4 linked regions of the Oreochromis niloticus genome follow. The protein of the gene in region 2 interacts with the protein of the main gene of each other region in a pairwise test. Links are inferred from orthologs where the notes say so. Each region holds a gene or a part of one and is shown on either strand. Other genes may lie near its edges. The genes, in order: cnksr1, pin1, ankrd40 and dab1b.

The links.
Region 1: the proteins of pin1 (region 2) and cnksr1 interact in binary tests that used the Homo sapiens proteins (3 or more experiments, as listed by UniProt). The two-hybrid records come from large-scale screens. The link is inferred for Oreochromis niloticus from reciprocal best matches to the Homo sapiens genes PIN1 and CNKSR1.
Region 3: the proteins of pin1 (region 2) and ankrd40 interact in binary tests that used the Homo sapiens proteins (3 or more experiments, as listed by UniProt). The two-hybrid records come from large-scale screens. The link is inferred for Oreochromis niloticus from reciprocal best matches to the Homo sapiens genes PIN1 and ANKRD40.
Region 4: the proteins of pin1 (region 2) and dab1b interact in binary tests that used the Homo sapiens proteins (3 or more experiments, as listed by UniProt). The two-hybrid records come from large-scale screens. The link is inferred for Oreochromis niloticus from reciprocal best matches to the Homo sapiens genes PIN1 and DAB1.

What each region holds. Positions count from the first base shown.
Region 1 is NC_031983.2:14,301,985-14,309,707, forward strand, and holds the start of cnksr1 (connector enhancer of kinase suppressor of ras 1), read right to left. Parts: upstream 3,001-7,723; 5' UTR 2,789-3,000; coding exon 2,737-2,788; intron 1,796-2,736; coding exon 1,638-1,795; intron 1-1,637. UniProt on the Homo sapiens protein: May function as an adapter protein or regulator of Ras signaling pathways.
Region 2 is NC_031971.2:12,301,439-12,308,662, reverse strand, and holds the start of pin1 (peptidyl-prolyl cis-trans isomerase NIMA-interacting 1), read right to left. Parts: upstream 3,003-7,224; 5' UTR 2,883-3,002; coding exon 2,825-2,882; intron 1-2,824. Other genes in the region: ubl5 (ubiquitin-like protein 5), read left to right, coding at 3,504-3,559, 4,517-4,600, 4,686-4,723, 5,076-5,119. UniProt on the Homo sapiens protein: Peptidyl-prolyl cis/trans isomerase (PPIase) that binds to and isomerizes specific phosphorylated Ser/Thr-Pro (pSer/Thr-Pro) motifs.
Region 3 is NC_031969.2:16,507,142-16,515,019, reverse strand, and holds the start of ankrd40 (ankyrin repeat domain-containing protein 40), read right to left. Parts: upstream 3,007-7,878; 5' UTR 2,549-3,006; coding exon 2,415-2,548; intron 1,865-2,414; coding exon 1,716-1,864; intron 1,352-1,715; coding exon 710-1,351; intron 1-709. Other genes in the region: luc7l3 (luc7-like protein 3), read left to right, coding at 4,955-5,053, 5,761-5,827, 5,922-5,961, 6,057-6,201, 6,365-6,439, 7,407-7,511, 7,807-7,878.
Region 4 is NC_031982.2:8,798,631-8,806,590, forward strand, and holds the start of dab1b (DAB adaptor protein 1b), read right to left. Parts: upstream 3,006-7,960; 5' UTR 2,554-3,005; intron 1,924-2,553; exon of another isoform or gene 1,651-1,923; intron 1-1,650. UniProt on the Homo sapiens protein: Signaling adapter of the reelin-mediated signaling pathway, which regulates the migration and differentiation of postmitotic neurons during brain development.

The sequences.
Region 1 (7,723 bases), on a different chromosome or scaffold from region 2:
TACAGGGTTACACTTTATGACTCTGTGTGTGTATATTTTATATGTAATCTTTTGTCATGGTATTGATATTGTGTTATAGCAGTTATGAAAAAATGCATAATGCAATGTCTGTTTTAGCTATTTTAGCAATTGTCTGAGCGATTATAAAGAACCATAATGAGTAATAAAAAAAAATTCCATTAAACACCTGTTTTTCATAAACTGCCCATATGGATCTAATCCACCCAGAGCAATTAAAAAGAAGCACATTATTTTATAAACAGTCTATCCTGAACCCTTAACTGCATAAATGATAAATCCTCACAGTACAATGCAATACAAGTGAAAGGGGGAAAAAACCAAATAGATTCAACTGTAACTAAGAGTAAAATCAATACATACTAACACAATCTCTTTCATATGCTTGTCATCACAGTTTGCTGGCCAGCAGCATGAGACGTGACTCTTTAAAATCACTGAAGGAGGAGCATGCGATTGTCGTGACCCACTCATCGGTGGTCAAGAGGTTTGTACCGGTCAGGCTTTGTTGGTACACAACCAGCCGGAACACCGGGCCTGTCAACAAGTGGCCATGAATTTTTCATGGCCTTTTCAACACTGTAGCTGGTAATTATCTAACCGTGCGCGTGAATCTGTTTGGTCTACTCCATGTGAGTATCTGATGGGTGTTTTTATGAATGAGCGCAGTGTTAGCGCTTCACGGAGCATTAAGTCATGGAGGGAGGAGAGGAAGTGAGCACATGAAGTCACATGCACACTATAATGGAAGCTTGAAAAGTAAAGCTTTTACTAAACTGTTGCACCCTCATTCGCGCAGACTTTGGGTTTGAACTGTTCATGCTGTAATGACTAATCAGTATTAGTTATTTCAGCAGTTTAAGCAGCCTGAGTCTTAGGCTGATGTTTACAGGCTGTTACGCCACAAGAGCTGGAACCCGGCCTGGTACTGTCCTCCTCAATTAGTCCTAAGGCCATTCTGGAGTCCCCTCCACACACACACACACACACACACACACATACACACACACACACACACACACACACACACACACACACACACACACACACACACAATTTAAGTCTCCTAAAACTTGCTCTTAAAATTGGACAAGCAGGGAAAATAATTATGCAGCAGAAAAAATGGGACAGAGAATCAAAGGGAATGCATAAGTGTTTTTTTTTTTAGTTGACTGCACGATTTCCCTAAAATTTGCATGCAAACTATTAGGGCCAAGCTTTTGTATTCTAAATCTGCTTTGCTTACAGCTGATGCATGACTAGTCCTTTGATCTTAGCTAGAAAACCAAAGTAAGTATTTTACTGTGATATGTTGGATTGTTGTAAAAGTGACAGAAAAGTCAAGTACTGGCTGTATGTTCTGGCTAGATTTGCAACTGATTGACCGACAGCTGCTCATTCCACTGTGCAAACAAAAATAAGGTGTAAAAAACACAGCAGTGAGGCAAAATTATATCTCTGTGCTGCTGTATCAGAACATACGCACCAGAACATGATAGCATGATTACTGCACCGTTACAATCCATAGCACAGCAAAAACATGACAAAAGATACTCTGAGACACACTCAGCATCACTGTCTACATGTATTATAATATGTAATTCTCATTGCTCGCTCACCAGAGAGCACAGTTTCTCCACAGCCTCCAGTATAAGCTCCTGGTGTCCAATCTTATGGACTCCCAACTCCTCCAGGTCCTGAGAAGTCAACTGGAGCAGGTCCACACCTGATAGATGCCACTGTGCAACTGGATACTGATGCAGGGGAGCATCCAAACCTTGCCGAAGGGCACAAAAAACAACAGGCTTTAGCTGCACACATGGCAAAAGTATAAGTGGAAAAGTCCACATACTCATAAAGTCCTGTGCATGTGCAGGCTTGAAAATGGTCTTCTCCTTCTTCTCTACCACATGTTGAGTAATTAAGTGTGAAAAAGTAAAGACATGACTGTGAAACACGAGTAGTTTACTGATATCTGAACGATACACTGGCACCAAAGTAATACCAGTATTATGTGTATTAACTGTGCTATTAACTGTGTATTAAATTAAGCTATGATTTATGATCAAAACCACATCAGTAAAAAGCACAAGTCAAAAACATGACATTTAGAATTATCTCTAAAGCATGGAAATCATTGACACTTCTGTATATATATCACTATAATATATCAGTAATATGTAAGAATACTTTAATCTGCTTTTAAATACTCAAATACTGCTTTTAAATTAACACTAAAATGAAAGTATTTACAGCAAAATGTACTTTTGCTGTTAAAGCTGTATAATATATAGAGTGACTCCTTGTCAACTGTAATCCATTAAAAAAGTAATGTTTATAATGACAAAAAAAGGAGCCTACCATAAAATCAAAATATTAAAGTTAATCAATGACCTTAAAGCTGTGCTCAGTTACTTTCCACCACTACTTTAACACATTTTAACATACCAAATGGGTAAGCCTGTTTATATGACGAGATCTAAATAATATAAGTAGATGACAGGCATTCATGTAAACTATTGTTTCTACTTTAGTTGTTGACACTGATCAGAGCTACACTGTTTTGGCTTCTCCCTCTGCACGGGCCACTTCCTCATTCCACCTCCACCTTCCACTTCCAAGAGGATTTGTGTGGCGATTCTATTTCTAACATTACCGTGCGAGCCAAAGTACCTGTGATCAAGGCGTTAGACAAGGAAAAAGCAATATGTGTCTCACCTTGGAGCCACTTGCTCACTCTCTCCTCGCTCCACGACGGTATAGGCTCCATGCTCGGAGTCCTGTTGCAGTCGCTCGTTCAGTTCCCAGCGGTCCTGGCCGATTTCTACCTCTCAGGGTGGCTGGAAGAAGAAAAAGTAGATCCTGATTCGGAATCAGACGACGACGACGACTGGCACTCCTTCTCTCAGGTACAGGTAAGAGTCTCCCACCTGCTGTCAGCCAATAACACGGAACTGTCAGCCTCCACCAGGAGCAAGACCCCTCCCACCTATCCCCCACCCCTTCCTTACCTGAAGGAATAGTGTGTTTACTGCGGCTTTAAGATTTCAGAACTTCCCTCATACTTTACTTTCATGCGCAGCTCACGTCGTCGCTCAAAAAAAAAGGCGCACGACTCATGCAGCAATGTGGAAGTATGTATTGCACACAACACCTCAACAAAGGTACAATGCAATATAATAACAATGCGATAATCCTGTAATAGCCCTGCGCTACTTTTGGCTGGACCTGATTCAACCTTTTGATTTTCCACAGAAAAAAACAGCAGTTGCTGTGTAGAAAATTAGGTTTATAGAAATATTATGACACACCATTGCTGATTTCCTTTTTCTTAAAGCTCCTAAATTGCTGAAATACACAGAAACTGTAACTTGTTCACTGAGCAGCAGACTTAATCCTCTCTTCCAAGAATAACTGTTAGCCGGTTCTCCCGGGAATTTTCCGGAAATGTTTCCTTTTTTTATCATTTGAACTCAGCTGACTAGTTATTTTTAGCTATGGATAGGTTTACGTGACATTGCTATAACTTTATAAATATTGTAATAATGTCCAGTAGTTTTACAGTGTCAGACATTTTCCGCTTGCTCATTTATTTATGGTATAAATAAATCATCCTCCTGGAGGAAGAAATATCTTAGCTTATTTGTAAACACATTTTTGACCCACATGAAACCGCACAGATTATTATAATGCATCAAGCTGAATATATGATGCAGTTATCTATTTTAATATGGCCCCTTTGGCTTCTTATTTCTTCACCATAGGCTTCAATTCTACAGTAAATAATCTCTTAAAGAAAACCGTGAGGACAAAACAGCACTGTGAGAATGTGTGCTCTAGATCAAAATGTACTTTGATCAAGTGTGCTAAAGGGCAACACCTGATGGAAAGGCTACTGGCATCAAAGAGCTGCCCTCTGATATCTGGCACCCCCTGCTGTTATCCTCTTTGAACCAAGAGAAAGAGGCAGAGGGAAAACTGACCTCATATGTCAGTAGGCAAAATGGCATTGTGCCCATATCCATGTGGCATATATGATCAGTGGCCACTCAGTTAGGTACACATGTTCATCTGCTTGTTAATGCAAATGTCTAATCAGCCAAAGACGTGGCAACAACTAAGTGCATTTAGGTATGCAGACGTGGTCAAGAAGACCTGCTGATGTTCAAAAGCATCTAAGGATGACGAAGAAAAGTCACTGAAGTGACTTTAAAAATGACAAGTTTGTTGGTGCCGGACAGGCGGGTGTGAGTATTTCAGAAACTGCTGATTGACTGGGATGTTCCCCACATGACCATGTCTACAGTTAACAGACAATGATTTGAAGAAGAGAAAATATCCAGTGAGCATCTTGATGGATTCTCAATCATCCAGGAAAGTAAATCTCCAAAAGTTGATTCTGTTCATCTGGACGTTGCTTTTTCAGTGGGAGAAATGTTTCGTCACTCATCCAAGTGACTTCTTCAGTCTCAGCTGCCTGCAGGTTTCCCCAGTCTTTCCCCAGTCATTATGCAAATGTACTGTTTATAAGATTGGGGAAACCTGCATTCAGCTGAGACTGAAGAAGTCACTTGGATGAGTGACGAAACATTTCTCCCACTGAAAAAGCAACGTCCAGATGAACAGAATCAACTTTTGGAGATATCCAGTGAGCAACAAATCTCTGGCTGAAAATGTCTTGCTGGAGAATGGCCACATCGTTTTGAAATTATAGAACAGTAATAGTAACTTAAATACCCAGTGGTTACAGCCACAGTATACCAAAGAGCATTTCCGAATGCACCAAAGTCTTGACTTTGGTAAATTTGGTTGAATTTGGCACAAATAAAAGCAAAGCAAAATGCACCCATCCTGCCTTTTATCAGCACTTCTGGCTGCTGGTGCAGCACATTTATGACCACAGTAAACCCATATTCTAATGACTGCTTCCAGGAGGATTGTCATAAAGCTCAAACCTATTGGATTAAGATCTTAAACTGGATTCTTGAACATGACGGTAAGTTCGCTGTACTCAAATGGCCAGATAGTCACCAAATCTAATCCAATAGAGCACCTTTGGGATGGGGTAGTTTCAATCTGCAGCAACTGTGTGATCCTATCATGTCAATATGGATCAGAATTTCTTTCCTGCACCTTTCTATACCATGAATAATTAAAAGCAATTCTAAAGACAGTAGGGAATCAAATAGCAGGGTGTACCTAATAAAGTGGCCTACGGGTGTATGTTTTGTCAGTTTTTCTGGTTTTTGTATGTTTGGGGGGGGGGGGGGGGTAAATAAATACTTCTTAAATATGGACTCCTTATTTTAAACTGTAACTTATTACAACACCTGAAATAAATAGTTTTAAAGTAAAGGGGGGAAAAAAAGAAAACTGCAGCCTCCCAGTGCAGTAGAGATGTCGTCATTATTGCTGACTGAACCGCTGTTGTTACTGTCAGAACTGTCTGTTGTATATTCTATTACGTGCACTGATAGCAAAGAAATAACCAGAGCCAAACTACTTGTATGTGTAGACACACTTGGTCAGTACAGCTGATACAACTCTTGCTGGGTTAAGATGTTCTCAGCTGAAAATGTGAGAGGAAGAAGAAACAAACTTGTGTGTAACACATGACTCTACTAGCCTAACAAATCAAGTCTGAACTTGTCCCCAGTACTGCTCTGAGATCAAGTCCTGTAAAGGCTATCCTGTAGTGTTTTGGGGCTTTTTTATTATTATTTAGAAAGAGCACTTTTATTGGACATGGATCACTTAAGCTGTTCTTTGGCTTTCCTGTTTTCCAGTCTACAAAAACCTAATAATAGCCTTTAGCATTGTGACTTTTGACTTTAAGTGGGTTACTTGTCTCACTGAAACTGACTGACATCACAATCTTTGATAGTTGTTTGTTCGTGCTGACTTTGGTCTCTGGGATTGTTTTTGTTTATATATATATTTTTGTGAAGGCATGTCCTTGGCCCACCTACTGGCCCAGCCCAAATACCTGGGCTACAACTTCAAGCCTCAACATGCTGTTTTTTTACTCGACAGTGAAGATTTGCTGTTTGTAGACCGGAGAGGTATACAAGCTGTTAGTGTAAAACAAAGTGTCTGTGTCATATAACCTCTATAACCTGTCTTCTCTTCTTTACTCCTCACTCTTTTCTTGGAGTAACTATAACCCACATTATTTAGTTAGGGATTATTAAAGTATTTTGACTCTGCTTGATTCTCTTTTATACATTTCTATGTCCAATCAGTATTGCCAGTGGGCTTTATCCTTAGTCATTCTGTCCTTTTAGCTATTTCTTAATGGAAATTCCACAGATGTTTGAAATATAATAACTCTTTCTTCTCTTTGTTCATGAGTTATGTACGGCACAAAGGCAGGATGTATTTTCAGTCATTACAACTGCATCTTGTCCTTCTATAGTCATTCTGCAGAGATTGGATAATTACCCTTGCTTCACTATTGAGCAGCTAATTAATTTGTTCAGTGGCAGCTTGGTTAAAAGAAAGGAATTATTATCTCAGATTTCATGAGTACCTCGACTGAAATCTGACACACCCGGAGTGTTACATTTAGACCTGTATATAGTGGATGCTGTTAGCAGGAATAGCAGTGTCGTTTATCGCTGCTGTGTTGTGCACTGCTGTAACACTACACTGAAAAAAAGGCCATGTTGGATTTACTTGATTCAATAGTGGACATTGGTTGCACACAAACGTTTTGCTTTGGCAGAAACTTAAACAATTGAGTTCAATCAACACAACTTTTTCATATTCAATAAACGTGCATTTTGAGTTCATAAAACGCGATTGAAACATGTTTAGATGAAGTAAGTTGAGCTCTTGGAATATTTTAATCCTTCACAATTTTGTCATTTTATTTCAACACTATTCAATAACTTATACCCCAATACTACTTGGTCACTTAAATACTACATGTTCTCTTCATATTATATAATGTTCAACAAAGTCTAGATCCTGGTTACCATAAAAATTGAATGGATCTAAACAACTACCATCCTCCTTTCTTTATCCTGGTTGCAGGGGGGCTGGGAAATAACTCTGAAGTGATAGGTTGTGAAGCAGGGTACACCCTGGACAACTCACAAGTCTATCACAAACAACCATTTGCACTTACATTGACAGGTAATTTAGAATCACCAATTAACCTAACAACTGCATGACTTTTAACTGTGGGAAGAAACCAGAATACCCAGAGAGAAACCAGTCCAAACTAGCCAGATTGTGGATTTGAACCCAGGATCGTCTTACTGTGAAGCAACAGCACTAACCACCATGCCAACAATCCGGACTTAACAAAAGTAGGAAAGCTATGATTTCAAGGCTTGATGCAGAATTTTGTTGTACGTTTTTGTCCTTGACAGGTTAATCCACAATAAATAGCGACAGCATACACGTGGTGTGTGTGTAGTTGTCTGCCTCTTATAACTCCAGTGATTTCCCTGCAGTTTGACATCTCGTGCGATCTTGTGAATTTCATGAGATCAGCAACTAACCACTCTTACTAGATTGTATCATGTCATCTCAACAAGAACAAATTAAGTTGTTGAATTTCATACAGATCCTTCATGATTTAATTACGTTTATAGAAACATGATATTATTGTGTTCAAATTACAAGTCAGACTTTTTTAATGTAACAACCACCCAATTTGCTTGATTTGACTGAGACGGATGCCTTCCTGAAACCACGA
Region 2 (7,224 bases):
AAAACCAACCAAACTGCTTCCTGCCAAGACTGTAAATAAAGGTAATGAGAGAAGAGCATCAGAGATGCTATCAAAAAGCCACAATGACCAAAACTGACTAAAAAAAGCTTATTGTGTGAGTTTACAACTATGATCGAAGCCTTTTATGTTAGACATTACAGGCCATCTGCACAGGAGAAAATAAATATCACAGGCTGACTTCATAGAAGAATCACCTTTGAATCCTTCTCGGCCTTTCAGCAAAAAAGTGTAAAAGAAAAAAAAATGCTGCTGAGGCCATACACTTTTAAAAGAAGCACCTTTCTCTAGTTTAGCATTCGATCGTACTTAAACACTGAGTCAACTGTTTGGTTTCTTCTGTTTTAAAAGTAATTCTTATTTTAAGACTGTTTTCATGGACCACTGATTCATTTATTAGGCCAATCCCCTTCTAACCAGCCCTGGACCTTCACACCTCATATTTATATAGCAGCAGTTTTGCTTGACATTGTGTCAGCCTGCTTCTCAACAGAAACATATCCACCATACTGGAGTGGACATGGAAAGGATCACTGTAACATGACCTGCGACCTTAAACAGCAAGAACAACAGGTACTGTTGCCAGCTGCAGTCCAACATCATGAAATTCGAGTTTATCCTCAGGATTAGAGACTCATTGAGCAAAAGGCTGACTGCGCTGCTCGACTGTTTTTATCTTTGCAAATAATCCATGTAAACTGTTAAATGGTATACGCTCTGACATGCAAGCTTGCTACCGCTAATGTTCACTGATCACCTCTTTTGCAGTGCTAACATTTTCATGTGTGGTTTCATAAGACCAAGATGGTGAAAGCCCAACTGCCACACTGCAAGTTTCAAAGCTGGTGCCCACAAACCACGGGGTGACATTAAAGTGGCTCTGCCCAGCTTTTATATGCTTTGGGTGCTTTCCATGACTCAAGCACGCCTCCTTTCTTCCTTTGGTCAGGCTCCATCTTCATATAAAGCAATTAACTTGTTGTCCAGTACTAGCTGGCAACTAGTTGCTAGCACTAGGAGACGGCTCTTCCTAGCCATCTCAGAGAGATGTGAAGGAGGTACGTGTCGATGGAGGAGCTGCTGTTGCTAAATGAGAACTTTGTGGTTTCATCGTCAGTGTAGAGTGAGTCACGGTGCACAGCTGGGCCACCTGTCCAACTCACAGACTCCCACACGAGCCCTCATTTAAGAACGATTTCAAAGCTTAGAGCAGCTTCTCCTTCAAAGTCTGAAAGTCATTCAAATCTCTAATAGGCCAATTTAAATAAAAATAATCTCTCATGTGCCATCTTTAGATATGCTACAAAAAATAAATAACCAATTATTAGTATTTTTTATTTTATATCTTCCAAATATTTACCTTTTATAAATAAAATTTACTTGCGTTATTGTTACTTCCTTACTTATCGTTATTAGTCGTTGATATAACAGGCTAGAAGGTAACAAGGTACTGTAATCACATTACTCTTTGAGACAGGCAGTACTGTAACATATCACTGTACTAATTTCAGCAACTGCATCACTATTTGCTTTGCAAAGGTTATTCAATTATCTCAGCAATGGGCAGATTGAAAGAGGGGGAAAAAAAAATCAAACCAGCAGTTTTCTTCCTGTGCTGCTGTCAGGTGAGTTCAGATTTTTGCAGGGAGGAGGAAAATGGTGGAGCAGTTTACAACATTTGAGAAGTGGCGATGTGGCCATTTCACTGCATGAAAGGATGAGATCACGAATCGCAAACTGCATCCAGAGCAGAAACTGCTGCATTATACTGTTAACGCAACATCTCTTTACAAACATCTTCACGGTGAAGAACCTAGAGTCAGTGTATCCTGACCCTTAGTCAGCAGCCAGAGTGATGAGCCATCAGGCCCAGCCTCCATTTCTACCTGTACATGTTTCTACAGTAGAATCGGTGTGGTGGTTGTTCTGAAGGCTCCTTGAGTTGGTTTTCAACTTTGCCACGTGTTATCACTACAAAAATTAAATTAAATTAAATAAAATCTTACGGCCTCTGTTATGATAGGGGTTTGAGTCACTGTGTGGGGCTGTAGCCTAAGGCTTATAATGCATCACAACATGCTGTCAGTCATGTTGCGGTGGAGTAACGCAAAGTATAACGAGTAGTTTAACAAATTACTTTCTCCAGGGAGTAATTAGGTAATGCAAAATGAAACAAAAACAAATAAATAAAAGTGACAAGTAATGTTTAAGACTTTGAGCAACGACCCCAGCAATGTTCACCTCACAGTAACTGCTTTCTTTTTTTGAAGCAATTTGCTTCTTTGAGGGATACTAAAACATTTAAGTTAATTGTATATTAAATATTAGTGTTTCTCCGTGTAACTGTGTGTATTAGAATTGACTGGTCCTTACAAAACACCACAGCACGAGAGCTATGACGATAACCTGTGTCACGTGAGGAGGGAGGAGAGAGGACGCATAAGTTTAGCATTCTGAAAAGCGTCCTACTGCTGGGACTCGTTCAATCTGCAGGTGAGGCGCTGGGGCGGGCTGACGTCATGCAGGGCCCTGCCGCAGCCAGGTTGAATGAATCAGCTTTGGCGCGATAATGAAGCTAAGGTGCCTAAAACAAGCTGAGAAAACGCCACCATTAAATAAAGACATTGACAGCAGCGACTAACCCCTCGCTGCTTTTAGACTGCAGTGATTAAACACGTCAGTCCAACCTCGTTTCAGCACTAATGCACGATGCTGAGGTTGCTAGCTACTGAGCTAAGTTCACTATACACTCCACTTTAGCTCACTATTTAGGACACTTAGCTTCTTGTGGCTCGTGTTTTATCACCTGAATTGCGGCTCATTCTTTTCTCCCATCCGGACGGTAGGTTCTCCTCGTCTGCCATGTTGCTTTCTGCAGCAGCGTTTTCAAATTTGATTTCAATCTAGAAGCCGTGTGACGAACCAAGCTGCAGCTAGGCAGATTACGACAGTTGGCCTGATGTTTATGGTACAAGTTGTTTTCAGTATTAGGTCCGCCTTTGGTGGGGTTTTTGTTCTGTGATAGGTCTAGCGAGATCGCCAATCATCGTAGTCCTCATTTGATTGGTAGGAAGGCGAATTCGCAACTAAACCAGCTTTACGGTAAGCAGGACCGAGAGGTTTCCAGAAAATATCAGCGAAGGAAATAATTGTTTTTTTCTGCTGTACAGTTCAAGGTAAGGATGACAGCTTCAACGTGTGGTTTTTATACGGTATCATAATGTTTCGGATTTTGACCTCATAAAGCTGCCCATGAGTGTATTTAAATATAAGTCCCGTTTGTTTTACATTAACGTGGTGTTGTGAGCTACAGCTAACGTTAGCTAAACAAAACAACCTGGCTGATTTCACTAGATTTCTGTGGCTGTGATTTCCAGCCAATCTTGTATAAAATAAACTCACTAGGGTTATCATCTACTTTATAATCTAATACCTTCATTTGTCTAACGTTGTCTCATCTCTTCCTCTTTTCTGCAGACATAAAGATGATTGAAGTGGTTTGCAACGACCGTCTAGGCAAGAAAGTCCGGGTCAAGTGCAAGTATCCTTTGCTGAAACTCTGAAAATAATGCTGAATATTGTCTCTCAGCACACATGTCAAAATCATGTTTTAGGTGCGGACATCTGGGATGTCTTGAGATGAGTTAACATAAGTCGGGATGTTTAACAGTACAGCATTCATCAGCATCTGCTTTCACAGCACCCCTGCTCTGAAATTATGGACTTAATTTTAAGGTGCAAGTAAGGCCCATTTATATTATAGAATGGTGTGGGGAATAGTTTTACAATGAATCTATTAACATGTGAGTTTCTGGAGTATGTTAGAAGACTAAAATTCAGTGTCACTGTTTGTCTTGGCACCCATGCTGATTACTTCTTATGACTTATTTCATTCCGTTAATACAGAAACCCACAATTGAAAGTCTGTGGGTTATTATAATAGTCATATTTGAGGTTTCAGCTTGTAAGTGAACTTTATTAAAAACAAAAAGTCAGTATCTTACATTTTGGTCTTTCAGGTTCTTTTACCTTTTAATATGTGACGCTATTTATGTTTATTATCATCAAATGATGTTTAAAAATGGTGCTTGCCACTATTTGCCATCACTTGACAGCAGATATAATACCACTTGAATGAACGCCACTTGACAATCAACTAAAAGTCTGATGATTTTCAGTAACTTCTGGGTGTCGCAGCTTGAAGGGATCTTGTTTGGTCAAGTGTTAGACGTTTTTGGCCTATAATGGGTTCGGAGGCAGTCTGTCATGGGGCTACAGAGAGAGTTGGACCAGTTTAGATAGAATACTTTAGCCATCCTGTGTGTTTTGACTGAGGAAAGCAGAGCATCCAAAGCTGCTGCGCCGTCCATCTGCAGATCAAAAGAAACAAAATGATACTAGCAGACAACACTCAGATTTTTTTTAACCACGCATTTGTTAAAGCTCTGGATGTTTTCCAAGCTGTTACACTGCTCCTTCCTTAACTTCGGTGTTTCAGCTCTGAGGATACCATCGGAGATCTGAAGAAGCTCATAGCTGCCCAGACAGGAACACGGCATGATAAGATCGTGCTAAAGAAATGGTGAGCTGCTCAAATGGGATTTGATGTGCTTGATGACAAATAACTCATCTATTTGGACCTAAATGTTGTCCTTTGTTTTCCACAGGTACACCATATTCAAGGACCACGTGTCTCTGGGTGACTGTATCCTTTAAAGGGTTTTTCCTGTAGTTGTACTTATGTGGTTTTAGTTACATTACCTTTAATTTAATAATGATCATGACCGTGACGTTATTACACCCTCACAGAACAACTGCAGTTCCTTTTATTGCACTCACAATGATCCATAACATGAATGTATCCATAAATTGTTTAAATTGGTAAAAAAATGTTTTTTATTGATTTAGAGATCAAGATAACTGCAGCACTTATTTTTCTCTAATTAAAACAGCTGAAGCATTTTTGTAATGCGTGTAAATTTGTACCTCTCAGAATCAGCAGAACCGATAGCTGCTGTATCCAGATCACTTGTTGCACTTAACCAAAAACTCTCCAGATGAAATCCATGATGGGATGAACCTTGAGCTGTACTACCAGTAAGCAAGAGGAGAACTACAAGTCAGATGTACAGATGTAAAGATGTTTCTTGCTACAAACACACACACACAATTGAAGGTCTCACACAACAAGATGGAGCGAGAGCGACAGTCACACAGCAACAATGGAGTTTTAATTTTTCCTCTCAAATCACTTTGTGAAAGAGATGTTGTTGTTGTTTTTTTTTATATTTTGGAAATAAAACTGATATTTACCTGACTGTGAGAGTGAGTGCTGGTCTTTTTTGTCCATTAATTATTTTCTCATACTGGGTGAGACTGGGAAACCTTATGCATCGCTAACACTTTTCCAAATTACTCTTTGCTTTCCAGCTTACTGGATGAAGGTAAAGTGTTGGGCAAAAGCATGCAAAAAAACATGGAGTTAGTTGCTTTTGATGTTGGTGGTAGTAAGTAGAAGGGTTTAATTGGTGCCAATGGGACCTACAAACTTATCAGTGGAACTTGGCAATGATATTTGCCTATGGCTGTGCATCCAACATCATTCACGTGGGGATGTATATGAATAATTTCAGTGGAGGCAAATGGACACCATCAGGTTTTCTAGGGGCCTTCTGCTCCAACTCCTCCACAAACTTTTAATTAGACGTAGCTTTACCTCTGTACATAAGACCAGTATGGCTAATGAGTTTATCGCATATACGCATTGCAGAAGCTAGATTTACACGCATGCTGTTTTCAACAACAAAAAAAAGTGCTTGGACTAAAAAAAATGATACTGGCTGATTAATCAGCTTTGGCAGCAGTTCTCAGACTGAGAGCTGGGGTTAGCAACCAGGGGGAATTTGTATGAAACAAAGTTTAATGATTTAGTTTTAAAAAAGGTGGTTTCTAAAGCTATTGCGCTGACTCTGAAGTATCTTTTATTGTTTAATGATGGGGGGGAAAAGCCAGCGCTAAACCTCCCTGTACACTATATGTTTAACCTCGATATTTTAAACCATTCTTTACCACATTACACTCGTACTGGACCACATTTCAGAGGAAATTATAAGACCTTTGTGCATCTAACATGTACTTTTATTTTAGAAACCTTTCTGTAGTGTACTGATCAGATAAGACAGCTATAGCACAAAAAACACCTGCTTGTTCACTGCATCAGTGTGAATACATATAAGGTGTATTGTGTAAACTATTTTTGCAGAAGTTCTACATGTCAGGAAGCCTGTGGCATTGATACTTTGACCTTTGTTGCAGCTAAATAAATGCTGCTACTACAGAGAAGTGCCATGGCCCGCAACTCTGTTTTAGATTTCAGATTTAGCATTACAATACAGATGTGGGCACAAAACCAGCCCCATAATCAAACATTTTCCTTTGGTGTGTAAGAACATGTCTGCACTGAACAAAGCCGTCCAACGTGTTTGAAGTGGAAGCGGCACTTTTGGCAGAGTGAGAGCGAAATCCTGCTGCCATGGAGACCTTACTTATAGACTCAGTCTTCTTGGACATGGATACTATTGTGTCTCTCAACACTTCAGAGCTTTAGCCATTGACAGCTGACATTGATGTAAACCTTTTACTAAAACTGCATCAAAGAAAGAAAAGAATGAGGGGACAGTCGTGGCACAGCTGTGGAAAGACAACAACTGCCGAATGAGGGAAGAGGTCAAATGTGAAGATATTTAGAATCCCCATATACTAGTATCATTTCCAAACTGTAGCCAATATAAGAATTTGAATCATTTTTAAAAATAAAAGGCAAGTTTTACCTTATTTGACCTTGAAAAAGAGATCAAAGGTCCAAAGTAATGTGATAATTACAATCCCCAGTTATCATTCTCTATATGCTGTCAATACAAACAATAGCAGTAAGAAAGTTTGCAATAGCTCTGCATTGTATTATTATCACTTTGACCTTGAGGGAGAGGTCAGAGGTCAAAAGTGACATAATATTCTAAATCTTTATACAGTACTTTCTAACAAAACACACCACACTATATACAGCAAACCAAGCCTAAAACTCTGTTGTAATACCATTACTACTAATACTACTAAATAATAATTAATAATAACACAGCAGTTAGTCACATGCATGCACTGTAAAGAAGCAGTTCTTCACACACACTGCTCTTTACCTTTTCCCTA
Region 3 (7,878 bases), on a different chromosome or scaffold from region 2:
TGCTCAGACAGCAGCACCTTATGAATGCTTTGTACTACTATGAGAGACTGAATATTCTTTCTGAACAGTTCATTTACTGATCATTTAAAAAGTGAAAAGAAAGGGTCTGTTTAGTTTTTATGAAAGCACATTTATAAAGAAAGCATGCTGGTTATATTTTGTCATAAAGACCAGTTTCTGGTTTGACAGGTTGACGACATCATGCAGACAATTTAAGTTGTTATATCTGTGATATTATTAGTAACTCAGCTGCAAATATCCATATTGCCATGCCACATGAAAGTTTTACTGTCAAAACATTCACCGACAAAGTGTCAAAGAGCCTGGTTCTTTCTTACCCCTGCTACGCCTGACACCAGAAGGTGTTTAGCAGTGTGCAGTAATTTAATGGGGCTCTGCTAGCTGCCAGGAAAACTCAAGGCAAAGGAGGAAGTTACTACTCTCAGCTAAGAAATCCTTACAGCATGCAGTTTCTAGAAAATAATCCATGCTGTTGGTTTTATATTTCTATTTGCATAAACATTAATCAAACAAGATGTATAAAAAGTAAACCGCACGTCATGTTTATTAGAAAAATGTGCTGATACTTGTGGTGCTGTACCTCGAAGCTTCAGAGTAAACCAGGGGAGCTGTTTCTTCCCACTTAATGTGTTTGAAATTGAGATAAACATTTCCTGTTATTTTAATCTTTAATTCTCAGTAAACCCACCTTGTACATTGACAGGGAAGGTGCTGGTGAAAAAGAAAGGCTGGAAGGCTGGCATGGCACCACCAGCCTGGCCGTAACTCAGCTGCTGCGGGATGGACTGCTGTCTGCTCACAGTTGGGTTTGTGCTTGCCACTGGGGCTTGGACCTGGCTCCCACCGTTGCTAGCCAAGCTGGGACTGGGTGAGGCCAGTGGAGGCGAACACACGGTGCCGTTGTGCACCACTGTGTGCGGGTAATCGGCGTGGTTGACGAGGTGAGGCTCGACTGATAGGTCCATGGGCACCGTGCAGTTAACGACAGCGTGACTGTGGGAAGCAGCCGTGCTGGGTGAGACACCGTTCTGCTCGTTCACAGGGATGAACTCCCCAGTCTGGGCTTGGCTGTGGTTGATGGTGGGATTTGAGGAAGGAGCGGAGGCATCAAAGACGAGGCTCTGTGATTTCCGAGGAGGCTCGTGCGTTGGCGAAAGAGATGCCGAATCACTCTGCGTGTCTTCAGCGTGCTCTCCAGAACCGTTTTGTGTAAGGTGAATCACCTCTGACTTCTTGTCCATCTTGGAATACATAAAGGGCGGGTTAGACAGGTAGTTGGGGACGATTGGCAACTCGGGCTCCTTCACTTCAGGCACTTCCTCCACCTCAACTGTTGCAATAATGATCACAAAAGAGGGGGCATTATTTCCTGGAAACAGACTCGAAAAAATAGCAAAGATTGCCGCAGATGTGTCAACACAAATGCCCAGTGTTATAACTGATTATAGATACACACTTCACTCACTCAATCGCACTTACACATTCATGCAGTACTTTTATCTATGCCTAAGCACTTCCTAACATTCATACACTGATGGATGCCCAAGGAAGCTTCAGCATGCAGATCAGAGGAGCCGGTATCGATCCACTGATGCTACAACTGGTGGACAACCCGCTCTACGGCCTGAGCCGTAACCAGCCCAGTTACACCGATGTGACACAGGGAGCAGCAGAGTGAGAAATGCTGACTTTACCTCCTAACAGTCTTTTGATCTCCGGCTTGGATGTCAGTTGTGACGCTAACTCATCCTTTGCTGTGAGGATGTCTTTGTCTGCTCCGCAACTGAGTAAGTAGGACACTATGTGCTTGTGATTCCTCTTGCATGCCCAGTGTAAGCACGTCCTGCAGGGATTATTGGAGAAACAAGACAATTTAGTGTTGTACAAAAAGAAAAGGAAAAATAATAACAGAAATATACTGTATCACTCAAGTGGTACCACCTCTCATTAAGCTGACTATAGTGTGTGGCACTGGCATACAAAATGGAAACATATAAATAATGTATATATTACTTTAAAACTTAACCAAAATCTCGATATGACTCTATTTGGTTCTTTATGGGTGCAAAGTAACTGATGATGGGCGCATGCGTGAAAATGTAATAATCAAAGGTGGGTTTGTGTTTCCGAACTCAATAACCAGGCTACAGCAAAGAGAAAAAGCTTGTGGTTGAAGCAGCCACTTTACTCAATACTTTGCTTGTTTGCTGGTTTTAAAGTAAAGCTAAAAGTGGCAGCGCTGGCTGATTAACAAGCCCTGCTTGGCGTAATAGGATAACGCTGAGCAGTGTTTTTAATCCCTGTAGCTCTGCTCTACAATGACTGCACTCAACTCCTGGCCGGCTGCAGTCGCGACCGAACAAATACTACTATAAATCGGTGAAAACACTTACCATCCGTTGATTTCGTTTTGTGAGTTGACATTAACCCCACTCTCCACTAACGCCCGCACTTCATCGATATCCCCGATGGCAGACGCCTCTCTCAGCTGCTCCTGTAGCTCTTTATCCAGCGAATTTGTGGACATTTTTGGTTCACACGGCTAGCGACGTGCGCTCATAGGACACGCAAAGGCCACGCGAATTATGTTGCCAATACTAATTAGCTAAATATACTGGTAACCGCTAGCATTAGCTACCAGGCTAACCTTACCTACTGGCTAGCTCGACGAGGTGCTAGCTTATGGCAGCAAATCGCTTTGGTTATTTCAACTACGTGTTGACCGTCTCTGGCGTTCACACGTCAAGTCGTGTCCCCGCCGCGTGTTTCTGCTGTTAGTTCGCGTTACAGTGGCACCACATGCACTCGCTATAAACTCATTCAATCAAGCAGTAGTGTCAGAGCTCCGTCAATGCACTGCCAAAAACACCGCCGCCTCGTCGGGGGGGCATCTTTAGATGTGACAACAGTGAGCACAAATGTTAGTTCCCCTCCGAGGAATCGCGTAGCCCGTGCGATTCCCCACGTAAATTGTGTGATACTGCCGTTGGCTGTCATGAATAAGGAAATAACTGGGAGATAAAAGTTCAAAGTACTTCAACTGTTTTTTACTCACACGTGTTGCAGGCAAGCTGGAATAAACCTCCCTACACTTATAATCGCTACTCCAGAAAAACCTAAACAGCTGTTGATTATTTGTCCCAAGCACACCTGTTACTTTTGTTTTTATATCCATTTTAATAAAGTTATAAATACTGGTTTTAAACTTGAAGTACATTTTTAAGCTGAATTTCCTCAGTATGCCACTAGAGGGGAGCAAACACCCACGATACTACACTAACTTGAACTTTGGTGTAAGATACACCAGGGATACTACAGCTGCAAGGCAGCAATTTTAAAGAATCACAGTTTCAGACTTTATGAGTGGCGAGGGGAATTGCAAGAAGACGAGAGGAACGAAGATAAGGAGTCTTAGTGGTAAAGTGAGGGAGTACAACTAAGTATTCAAAGGAAGAGGTTAACAAAGAAAAAGTAGACAAGAGTACTGGGAGGCTGGGTGTACAGCAAAGAGAAGTGGCAAAGGCTAATAGTGGATTGTATGTAAGGCTCTGGACACTAAGAACAGAGAACAGGAGTTGTATAAACTGGTTATGGTAAGAGATCAATGTGGAAAAGATGCATAGCAGTTTAGGGTGATTAAGGTTAGAGGTGGAAATGCACAAATGAGTGAAAAAAGTACGTTGAGAAGAGCGGAGGGCCGATCAAGAGGATTTCAGAATATTATTTAGTTTTCAGTGATATTAACTTTCTTAGCAGAAAACTAATATATGATATTTGAAATTATATTTGACAACAGCATAATAAAACTGTGAATTCTGTTTTGGCTCTGCCAGCCCAATAGTTTTAGTGGCCCCCATATGACTACCGTATAAAACATTTTTGGGAGGCACCACTGGATGTAAGAAGATGCAATGCTTGCTCTGAGTGTTGCTGTAAAGGTGCATAGAAACTCAGAGGGAGTTGAAATGAGTTACTAGATGGTAGTAAAACCTGTTATGATGTATGGCTAAATGAAAGGAGAGGAGACAAAGTTACAGTTCATAGATGGTGGACTGAAAGAGGACATGCAGAGGGTTGGTGTGACAGAGGAAAACTAAAACACATTGGGGACAATAACAGGAAATCTATGTGGACTTGCTTTAATAAATATTTGGTCAGCACTGAAGTCACAAAAGTATACATTTATTAATCATTTCTGGCAGTAATCGGATCTGGCAAAATCTGCATCACTGAGATAGATTTTGATGATGCCATAGCACTGCATCTGTGAAATATGCAGTCAGAAAGCTTCACGTGTGTTTGTTGTTATCAACATTCACTGAGTTTGAAGTTTTTAGTGTGACCGATGGGAACTGAGTAAAAGCAACAAGTAAACATTATATATTACAGTATCAAATAAAGAGCCAATGCCAGTGGAAAATAACATTAGTTCATCTCTGAATGTCCTTGTGTGATATCCTCTGATGAGCCTTTTCATACACCACCACAATCTGGCTATTCAATGCAGCATTTGTCTTCAAGAACCTTAAAGAAGTCCAAACGCTTTTCTTTCCAAGCTCATCAGACTAATCTGAACTTGCTTCCGTTGTAAACTTTCAAAATAAAACAAAGCACAAACATACGCAGTGCCGCAACATCTATTTCTGATCAAAATACAAATAGAAATTGCATATTTTGTCCGTTTTTGATCAATGGTAAAAGTTTGCAGCACTATACGGAGAACTGAATCCTGGACACGATGGTCAGACTAGTACTTCCGGTTCAGAGGCCGCGGGAGCAGCTCCTGGGCTGGTTGTACTCGGACTGCGAGCGGGCGTTGTTGTTACAAGGTCTGCCATTTTGATTAGAAGCACTTCGCGCAGCAGATGGTGTGAGTTAGGCCTTCTGGATATTATTGTAGTACTTTAAATTAAGGCTACATTCCCGCAGAAAAATGCTTTCTGCCGCCCAGTTACTCGACGAGTTGATGGGTCGAGATAGAAACTTGGCCCCTGACGAGAAGCGATCCAACGTACGGTGGGACGACGAGAGCGTAAGTTAGCATTCTAGCTACCATTAGCTTAGCTAGTTTTAAAACCTATTAACCGTGAGGTGTCCAAAATACGCGTGCATGGCGTGCGCGGTGAGTATCGGCTAGTTTAAGCAGTATGGCCTCCAAATTAAAATTTCTCGATTCACGCACAGAATCGATGGCGAAAAGCGGGCGGTTTGAGTCAGTGGTGCTTGAACACGCGTGTTAGCGAGATTAGCATCACGATTTGGTCATTCTTAAAAGGTTTCATAGGGCTCACTTCAGTTTTAGCAACTTGTTTTCTGGGTATAGTTGGGCTAATAGTTTAACTGTGTTAATACAAATGATTTCGATGTGCTAATGTGTGAAAGGACCTGCACATTACGTTCTCTAAAGGTTATGCTCTGCTTTATTGCATAAACTGGCATTGCGATGTCTGAAGACTTAATACGGTTACATACATGCTGCTTTGTATGTAATTCGGCATTAATATTTAATATTAATAATAAATACTGTTTTCCATGCTGTTGTGTTTTTGTTTCACTTGCAGTGTTGTGGGTATTTTTTGTGTTCTTAGTTCAAGCAGAAATTGATTAGGTAAATTTGTACGACTACCACATTCATTTGCTTATAGTTGGTCTAACTAACATGCTGTCACTTAATCCAATGTGATCTACTATGGAGGCACAATTTACATAAAACTGTTTGATATGTTTTCTTTTATTCAGGTCTGTCGGTACTATTTGTGTGGCTTCTGCCCTGCTGAGTTATTCACAAACACTCGCTCTGACTTGGGTAAGTTGGGAACTTTGTATTCCCAAAATGTATTATAAACTGGACAAAGCCCTTGAGATTTGACAATAATATGTTTATTGTTTTGGGTTCCCAGGTCCATGTGAGAAAATCCATGATGAAAATCTTCGAAAAATGTAAGTTCTTATTGTGGCTTTTTTTCTTTTTCTTTCCTTTTTTTTTGGCTTGATATTTTACACATAATTAACCAATTCTGTGTCGTTATATCCAGGTATGAGAAAAGCTCTCGCTTCATGAAGGAGGGTTATGAGCGAGATTTCTTGCGCTATCTGCAGTCACTACTGGCGGAAGTGGAGCGGCGGATCCGCAGAGGGCATGCCCGGCTTGCACTTTCCCAGGCTCAGCAGAATGCAGGGGTTCGTGCTTTTATTTGAGAACATCATTCTCAAACTCCTCTGTGCATCTTCATGTTTTCTCGGACCACAGTGCAAGATATGAATCTAAAAGAAAATAACATTACCTGTATGTTTCTGCTTAGGATGTATTGAACTTAGTTGTACTCATGTATTCATTCTGCAGGGCCCTGGTCCATCAGGAAAGAATGAGGAGAAAGTCCAGGTTCTAACAGAGAAGATCGAAGACCTGGTTGTGCAGGTTTGCCCGAAATCTTTAAATTAGTAGTGTTTGAGGAAAAACTGAAAGATTTGAACGCGGGTTCTTGCATCAGGATATCTGATGGTCTCCTACAAGTTCTTCTTCTAATGCCTTGCCACAGTGGAACACCTGCCTTCCTCTGACCTTATTACTAGCATCCTCCCCTGTCACGCTAACTCTCTGCATGTCCTCCTCCTTTACATCCATAAGTCTTCCTTCCTGGTTTCTCCCAATGAATATTTCAATATCTTTAACTCTGCCTCCTTGAGCTCTAAACTGAGTTTAACTCATACATCATAGCAGGTGCGACTACCATCTGATAATCCTACCCCTTCACTGTAGCTGCTATCATTCTGTTACAAATCACCCCTGACACTCATTCCTACCCACACCTCTCTGTCCACACTCATGTCTTCACCTCTCTTGTGCGGTCTGCATTACTTCGGCTGGTTGATCACATATATTTAAACTCCTCTACTTTAACTACCTCTGCTACTCTGCAGCTTCACTGTTCCACCAAAATTTGTGAATTTAGAAGGTATGTGGACTGCATGGCTAACTGTACATGCATTTGAAAAGACTACATTGGAGTCTGATAAAGGCTGTCCTGTCAAGAGGTTCACTGCAACCCACACTTGTGCAGTTTCTCCTTAAAATAATTGAATAACAAACAAATGTAATTTGTGAAAGGAGATTTTGAACCCTTTGGGAAAATAAGGAAAGGTGTTGCTCTTCACACTGATCTAAGTGTAAGCTGACTTCAGACTTGAAATCATTCAAATAGGATCAGCTACCTGTTGTGACCACAGCTGTTTTTGTGCATGTACTCTAGACTGTATGACACTTCAGATGCTTTTTCCTGACTGTATTACAGATCACACTATTTAAAATAAAACCACCTAAATTCTTATATGCACTCCATAAATCAAGTCGTGACATTGTAACATGGCTTTTTTCTTTTTGTCAGATTGAGGAACTGGGCTCTGAGGGCCGAGTGGAGGAGGCCCAGGGAATGATGAAACTGGTGGAGCAGCTGAAGGAGGAGAGGGAACTACTCAGCTCCACCCCCTCGGTGAGTCAGTTTACCCTGGGCTAATCAGCCTACAAACACAGCTTAAGATAGCATAACATGCACATCACCTACTATTAGACAGGAAACATAAGTTTAATTCCATTTCAAATACAAAAAATGAGTTTAAACTTAGCTGGTGAGCTAAAAGTTATTTTTTACTGTAGCTGTATTTCTTATTAATACTCTCAAAGTAAAATCTGTGCGAGCTGGGCAGGCAGCTATGATGGAAATCAGAAATGTGTTCCTTATTCTTTGACTTGATGTCTAATCACAAATTTATGCCCTTTCAATCCAGACCATCGAGAGCTTTGCCGCCCAGGAGAAACAGATGGAAGTGTGTGAGGTGTGTGGGGCCTTCCTCATTGTG
Region 4 (7,960 bases), on a different chromosome or scaffold from region 2:
CCCCAACCTTCCCTGCACCTGTCATGGTGATTACACTCCCAGGAGGGTGGCGGGTGGTGGTGGGGGGCGAACGTGTGCATCATTCAGCTTTCTACAATACACCGCTATCGGAGCAATCTCCCCCTTTTTGTTCAACTCCGGCAAGCGAGGTCACCCCTGACCTGCCTCTGCCAGGGGCCACATCTTTATTAATGAACAGACTAAATGTGATAAGGCCGCCAGCAAAAATCAGAACTCAGGCACAATCTTGCTCATTAAAGCTACTTTTTTATAAAAGATTCAGGCCACTCCAGGAGTCGTGTGTCTGAGTCTGAAACTTTGCATTAGTGTCAATGCGAGGCCCTGTTCGTTAGACGCATTACCTCAGAACACTTGGTAGTTCACGTTGAGGTAATGCCGCTGCGAGATGAAGAGAAACTACAAATGCGATAATCCACCAGGCTTTCAGCAGAAACAAAAGAAGAGAAGCAGAGTGTGGCACGGTACAGCAAAGGGGTGAAAAAGCCCAAAGATTTAAGAAGTGCAAAAAAACAACAAGCTGAAATTGCTCCAACACTGCTGCAATGCAATCGTGAAGAGTTAATACAGAGAAGAAATACCCAAACCACCTTTCCTCCAAATGCAAAAGGGGAAAATTCATTATGGTCTTAATTGGATAAGCTATATCCACCATATGCACCGGCTGCTTTCGCTTTCAGGAGCTAAATGAAGCGCCTTGATTCCACTGGGAGACCCAACAAAGAAGGCCTTACTGGAGAAGTTAATGCTCTCTAGTGTTTTGTTGAGCTCTATCTTAAGCCTCACAATTCACACTGGGCTGCAAAGAAATGTCTGGGGGTGACAACTGGAAATTGTAGCATGTGTGTGTGTGAGTGGTAACACATCCATCCCACGATCGAGCTACTGAGCACAGCTTAGGCTCTGTTGCAGAGCATCCTCACTAAGGAGATTACGAAGGATAGTTTGGGCGACTTGCAGAAATCGCCAGTGAACTTTGGCACCAGCGTGAGAATCCTAGCCCCAGACCTTCACTTTTATCCCACCAAACCACGACATAAACAAGATGCAGGTGAGCCACAGTGTTTCAGCAGCACCCTGGTCTGTAGCTGATGGCTGCTGTGTTACTACATTTCCACTACAATGCTCATTTCCCATCATTTACGATTGCTCTCACACAAGCACCCATGTAGAAAACACAGAGCATCATGACTGACATATGGTCCAGTAATGAACTTTGCATTTGAACTGGTAACATTGGCTCCAATTCAATTTTACCCAAAGGGGGAGGGGGTTTGGGTTTGAGAGGTTATGATTATGAAAAACAAAATAATAAACAGCCAGGACAGCAGCCTGTTCTATTGAATGATTTAACACAAAAAACTATATTTTGTCTATATGTGGTTCTTTTTAATTAATAAAGACATGCCTGTGGACCAGGGATGCACCTTGTTGTCTAGGGTTATCTTTAAATATAGAACCAAGATTGATAGCAGACTTTACAAAAATAAAATAACCAAAGTTTAGCCATGCTTATACAACACAAGTAAGTCCTACAAATCCAGACATATATTAAAAATCAACATAAAAAATAAAATAAAAAATTTTAAATGACGCAAATGGAAGTCGTGTCTCACGCTACCCCCCACCCACCTCATCCACGTCTTCCAAGACTAACTGGAATGCTTCCACCTCCACACTGACCCACGAACGTCGCTGCTGACCGGAGGACTCACACTGAAGGCCCACGCACTGGTTTTTCTGGCACATTTTGGCTCACCGCTGCCGGACAGACCGGCGCCGTTGTGCGCTGTGCGCTCCCATCCAACCGTTCATCCACAGGTACTCAGCCCCTACTACTGCAGCCCACCGAGCATTCCCTGACCGCTTCCGCACTGAAATCAATACATTTATCAACATATGCGTCATCATTCATCCATTCGCTCAGCATCGGAGCGGGCTAACACGCACTCGTTTGAGAATGACTTACTGCTGTTGCAGCAGAACATCTCTTCATTTGAATATTTGTGGAGGGAGGGAGAGCAACAGACGTGGTGGGGAGAAGAAAAAAAAGATTTCGCCTGTTCTCACACTTGTTCCTTTACACGAAATCCCACAGCCAAAAGCCCCCGTGAGCAGCTAACGCGCTGAAATCGTTTAAAAACAATCAAAACCCAAACGTCACTTTGTAATTTATGCGCAATTCGACGTGGGACAGCGGGTTATTTGACAGGCAACCGGCGTTTGCGCTTCAGCGGACTCCACATTCAAATCCATCAAAGCAGCACCGACGATCAGGTTCACAGCTTCATGATCACATTTATTTCTCTTTCCCTTTTTCTTTCTTTCTTTTTCACTCTGTATGTGTTTGTATCCCGGTCATCCACAGCGGACTGGTTCCCATTTTCATTCAACGCATCCTATCCATAAATCTTGACATGTCGCTGAGCTGCCTTGCATCCTTAAACAGCTCTGTAGTTTCACAGTTTAATGCTGAAGCACCTCTTCACCGCACACCCCTCCCAAAAAAGAAAGAAAAGCTGAGATGTTACTCACCTTTTCTCAGTGGATGCTTTTCTGAAGTGTCCCATTTGTGCGTTTTAATCCACATCTGTGTCTCCTTCATTTGAGCGCTCTATTTCCCCCCCTCAATGAGCGAGAGAGGGAGAGAGAGGGAGGAAGCGCGTTTAAGAAAATCCATTTGTTAATTCCATTTGCCGGACACTCAAGGTGAAATCACATTGCCTCTGCCTCTTTTTTTCTTTCTTCTGTTAACAGCTTCAAAATTCTTCCATCATTGTGAAAATCCCGTAAAGCCCTATCATCTTTTTGCTTTTTTTATCTTCTTCTCTCCAGCACTGAAGTTGCTTGGTTACCCCTATTTCTCATTCAAGGAGGCTGAAGCGCTGCATACAGCGGCCAATCATAGCAGCAGCCGGAGAGATTAACTATTTCTTGGCTCGAGTATTCTAGTTTCAAGCTTAAATGAGGAGAGTAGGCGGGGAAAAACTGGGCCCCCGGTGACAGAAGAAGGGAAAAAAAATTAAAATGCACAGAGAATAATGTAGAGAGGGGATCCGTTGGAGGGAGAATGTGTGGAGGGGGGAGGGGACGAAGGGGATTAAACATTTTCGAAAAATAAAGGATTCTGGAGAGGAGGAGGGACCAGTTGCCACTTCTCACAACAACAAAGATGTAAGTGAATAATATTCCTGCCTTGCAGGGCTCTCATGCAAACTGGAGTGGAGCCTCCATTCCTTCTGAATTTGCCTTTAAAGAGCAGAGATCCGTCTCATTTCAGAGATCCCCAAAAAGCAATCCATCAGGGTAATTGATCATCCCCCTTTAACCAGCCATCCATCAAGTCCAAGCTCTCTCTCTCTCTCTGTCCCCCACCTCCTACCTTCCCTCACCCCTGTCTCACTGCAGTCGCCTCATCATAGGCTGTATTGATTTTAATTTACCCCTTCAGATTGTCAAGGGGAGAAAGCCAGGTTCGCTCACCGGCTCATGCAGGCGTAATGACCCCCTGCCTTCAAGGTCCTTTATTGAGGAACATCCAGGTCAAGCCCCCCACCTCTCCAAGCACACGCCTACCTTTGGTCTTTGTGGCCTGCGCATTGAAGGCTTCAGACTTGCCCTCCACCACCACCCCTCACAGGGTGCCATGCAGGAGTGGTGGTGCATTATGGGCAAACAGTCGGGGGTCCTGACAGGGAGACAACAAGCTTCTCAAAGACAGACAGAGCACCAGCAACCATTGAGAGGGGGTGACCTGTGTTGGGGGGACTGACTGCACGCTCATGATGTAGAACATTCCTGCAGAATGAATTTATGTTATTTTATTATTATTGTTTAGTTACTTTGTCAGCCGTCTTGTTGTCAAAGTTGTTTTTGAAGCACTTTGAAGCATCTTCTTCATCCCACATTACAGTTTGAGGGAGATGTCAGCCACATACGATTCATGCTCGGGTGCCAACTGAGTTCACACATTTCACAAAAAATAAAGTTTGTCTCTTTTTTTTTGTTGGGTGACTGACGTATCGCTGGCTTCGCTCCATCCCACAGATTCCGAACGAATTCAGCAAAGTTGGGGTCCTCGCTGTGGGATCAGAAGAGCACATGTATGTGGATGTACAGTTGTGCATGTGACACACACACACACACACACACACACACACACACATATGCACATGCACATTGGCACAAGAACACGCACAAACACTTAGTGGTTGATTGACGTGTAGCTCCTGGCTTGAGCACAGCTTAATCCTGCTGCTTTCACAGATGGACTCAGTCTTCCTCTTTTTGTCTGGTGTCACGAGCAGTGGCACACACACACACACACACACACACACACACACACACTGCACATCCCCATGTACTTTTGTTTACCAGGGAGGGAAGCTGCTGTTTGGGTTTTAATCCCCTCTGTAAACCTCCCTCTCTTTATCGGACACCCCTGCTACTGGACACACACACACAAACAAGCACACAAACACACACACAGTCATCTACTCTTTGGTCATTAAAAAGAAACAAAGGAGGTCAGTGTCAGGAGTGGAATCAGGCAGCTGTGTCCTGTGAGGCGAGAGTTAATCCTCATTTCCAAGGCCCAGAGACAAAAAGGAGCCTCGCAGATGAAATGCTTCGCAGTTACGCAGGAACTCGTCACTTTTGTGCCACCTTGTTCACCCATCCATCCACCTCCACTGTAAAGGGGAAATTATGGTTCAGCGGTGGTAACGCATTGGCAGCTGTGGGTTGAATGTCCACCTGCAGCAAGCACATGTTATCAGATGGGGGCAATGTCAAAAATATGTGGTACAACTGGTCTGTGGGCAACTATTGTTTGTGTTACTGATGGCCAGTCAGTCATCCACAGAGAAGAGTGAAGTTATATAAAGAGCTGAAGTGAAACTGAGAGTTACAAATGATTAAAGGGTCCACTGCAGCCATTGTCAATTCCCCAATTCCCTGTTCCCAACCATTGTCAACCAGTCAGCATTAACAAACCCCTCTCCACAGGCTCTCTTTAGGCAAATACACACGCAGTCCCTAAATTAAGAATAACAGGGAGTGTTTGTTGTTCATTTGCTCGGCTCATCATAGGTTTTTTGGTGGCATGAACCAAAAGGGGAAAGATTAGACTTTTCTCCCCCTCCCTAATCGTATTCCACTTCTGGAAAGGCTTTGATTTCCATGTAGATGGAGCCACGTTGATAACGGCAGGGAACTGCCCTGGAGAAATGAGGCAGGGTGATAAGATAAGGAGAACAGATCCCCGTCCAGACAAAAAAGACAAAGAGGAGAGCCGTCAGCCCACGTGGCGTTTAATCTCCATTCAATCCAGAGATTAGTTAAGTCAAAATTCTCATCGCCGCACCCTGATTAGTCAGCTCCCTAAGGGGAGATGGGTAACTGGTGGCTACCTTGCAAAACCTCAGCATGAAAGCTGATCAATAATTAGTTCCCGGTTTTAGTCAGAGCGGCAGCTTTGGGGTCACGATATGTATTTCAAGGACAAAGAAAAAGGTTATTGTACAGACAGAGTGCTGATTTGCCTCTGATTCTGGGCATGAAGGTTGCCAAAAACACGAACAGTAAGTGCACGTCCAGTCAGTTGCAGTTTTGACACTCAGAGTGAGCATGTTTTCCAGGAAAGAAGGATGTTTGCCCAGCCTGTGGGTTCTATGCTAATAGACTGTTTTAATCAAGTCTAATCGTATTGTCACAGCAGAGCGTGAGCGATTAGCATTCAGAGAGGCACGGCGGGGCAAAGCCTGACATCGATAAATGACATGTGACCCCTGACTCTGACTACTCCGGCTGCTGAGAAGTTCCACTCCTTTTATCGCTCTCACCCCGGGCCACTTCATTTCCGGTACCACGGGTAATCATGATGTACTCCATCGGCTGTGGGTCTAGAGGGCACACTTCTCAGGGGACTGAGACAGAACACCTGTGGTAGTGCTCATATTTATTATTGAAGGAAATGAGCAAGTTGTTCAATGTGACTATCAATTATTGTGTAGATGAGCTGGGACTGCACTGCTACTGTAGTTAGGTCAATAGTTTTTTGCTCAAAGGCACATTTTTTCTAGTTTTGCCTCTGCACGCTTTCACGGTGGATTTTGAATCAAAAAACCATGGTGTGATTGAAGGCGAGACTTTGAAGTTTAATTGAAGTGGGTTTATAAAAATAGTGAATTAACTGTTTAGGAATTACAGCCATTTTTATACAAATATATCAAGAATTTGGTACATTTTTGAAATGAAAAGCAAAATCTAAAAGAAACATCTGAAGAGCTGACACAGTTCTGGAAAGATGAAACCATACTTTTATTTATGCATAACCAAAATGACAGGAAGACAACAGCATGGAGACGGTGAGAAACAACTCATGATTTTAAGTATAGCGCATCATCTGTCAAACACGGTGGAGGCAGTAATATGGCATGGGAAGATATGGCTGCTAATGATGTGATTGCTGATAGAAGTAGCAGGATGAATTGTGAAGTGTACAGTGCTGCACTCTCTGCTCAGATTCAAAAGTGATCAGACAGCATGTCACAAAAGTGGATCATGAGCCAAAGCATATGGAAAAAAGCAACCCAGGAGTTTCTCAAAGGAAGGACATGGGATATTCTTCAATGGCCAAGTCAGTCACTGGATCTCAACCCGATAGAGTTATTAAATACAAGACTGAACGCATAAAGACATGAGAAAGTGTGCATAAAAATGGCTGTATTTCCTAAACAGTTAATGGACTCATCCATCCTCTAATCTAATATCATTTTATAGTAGTATTTTTGGGTTTTTTGTTCTGTTTTGTGGTAGTTAGCATGTCTTTGGAAGTAGTGCAATGTGTTTCTGTTGGGAAGTATGGTATGGAAATGCATGCAAGTCGACTATTTGTTCAAGTCCACAACTGTCCATCAATGTAGACCCAGAAACTTTTAAAAATCATAACTTATTGACTGAGATCATACCGAGTCAGTGTGGTCTGAGTATGGTCCTATTCAACACGATCATGCTGAGACCACATGGGGAAATGGGAGGCATGAAATGCTCTTCAAGCACTTCTTCTTTGGCTTGAGCGGAAACATTTGCATGCCAGCATGTCTCCAAATTAAATTTTGTGTGCTTTCAAAAGGCAGCTGTTTGCTAACATCTGTGACATATCCACGTTTTATGTCATTGCTGAAAACAGCTTGCTCCACTGCCCTATATTGCTCAAAACAAACAGGAAAAAAAAAATCAGTTAATACTGCTTTAATATTAACTGATCCTTCAGTCTCAAAGGATTAAGTGTTGTGACCTTGAAGCAGCAGTCAAGAAATGAAAAGCTACAAAAAGGTAGTGAATCAGCATTAGGATTCATGCAACTGAACAGATGCAGTGCCGATGCTCAGGGGGGCTTTAACTTTGTTTCAGTATCGTGCCACACCTTTACCCTTGTTGTCTTGCTCTAAGCCATTTTTGTTTCTCAACCAAGAACACCACAACACCGGCTTGTTAATCTCATGCAGCCGGAGCAGCTGTCTTTTCAAGGTCAAAGAGGTCTGGAGAAAATCTTGCTGATAAATCTTGAAATAATCAGACCATGCAAATCCAGATGCACGCACTAATTTGTGAAGATGAAACCCCATCTTCGATTTCTATCTAGGTCGAAAGAAGATCTACATACCGTAGCTTTATATTAGTGTCAGTGTAACAAGGCGTCTGTGTTTTCTAACTAACCTTGGATTTTTTATTTTTTTCCCACCGTGCGTGAATATTGAATTTTAAACTATCAGCAGTGAAGTGAATGGGTGGGGTGGTAGCGGGGATTTGAGGATTTTTGTGATGCTGCTGGAATTTATATCCAGCCATCACTTGAACCACACTGGAGCATACTGTATGCAGAATAACAAGTGGCAGCATGGAAGCAGTTAGTCTAGCTTCAGCGTGGAGGATACAC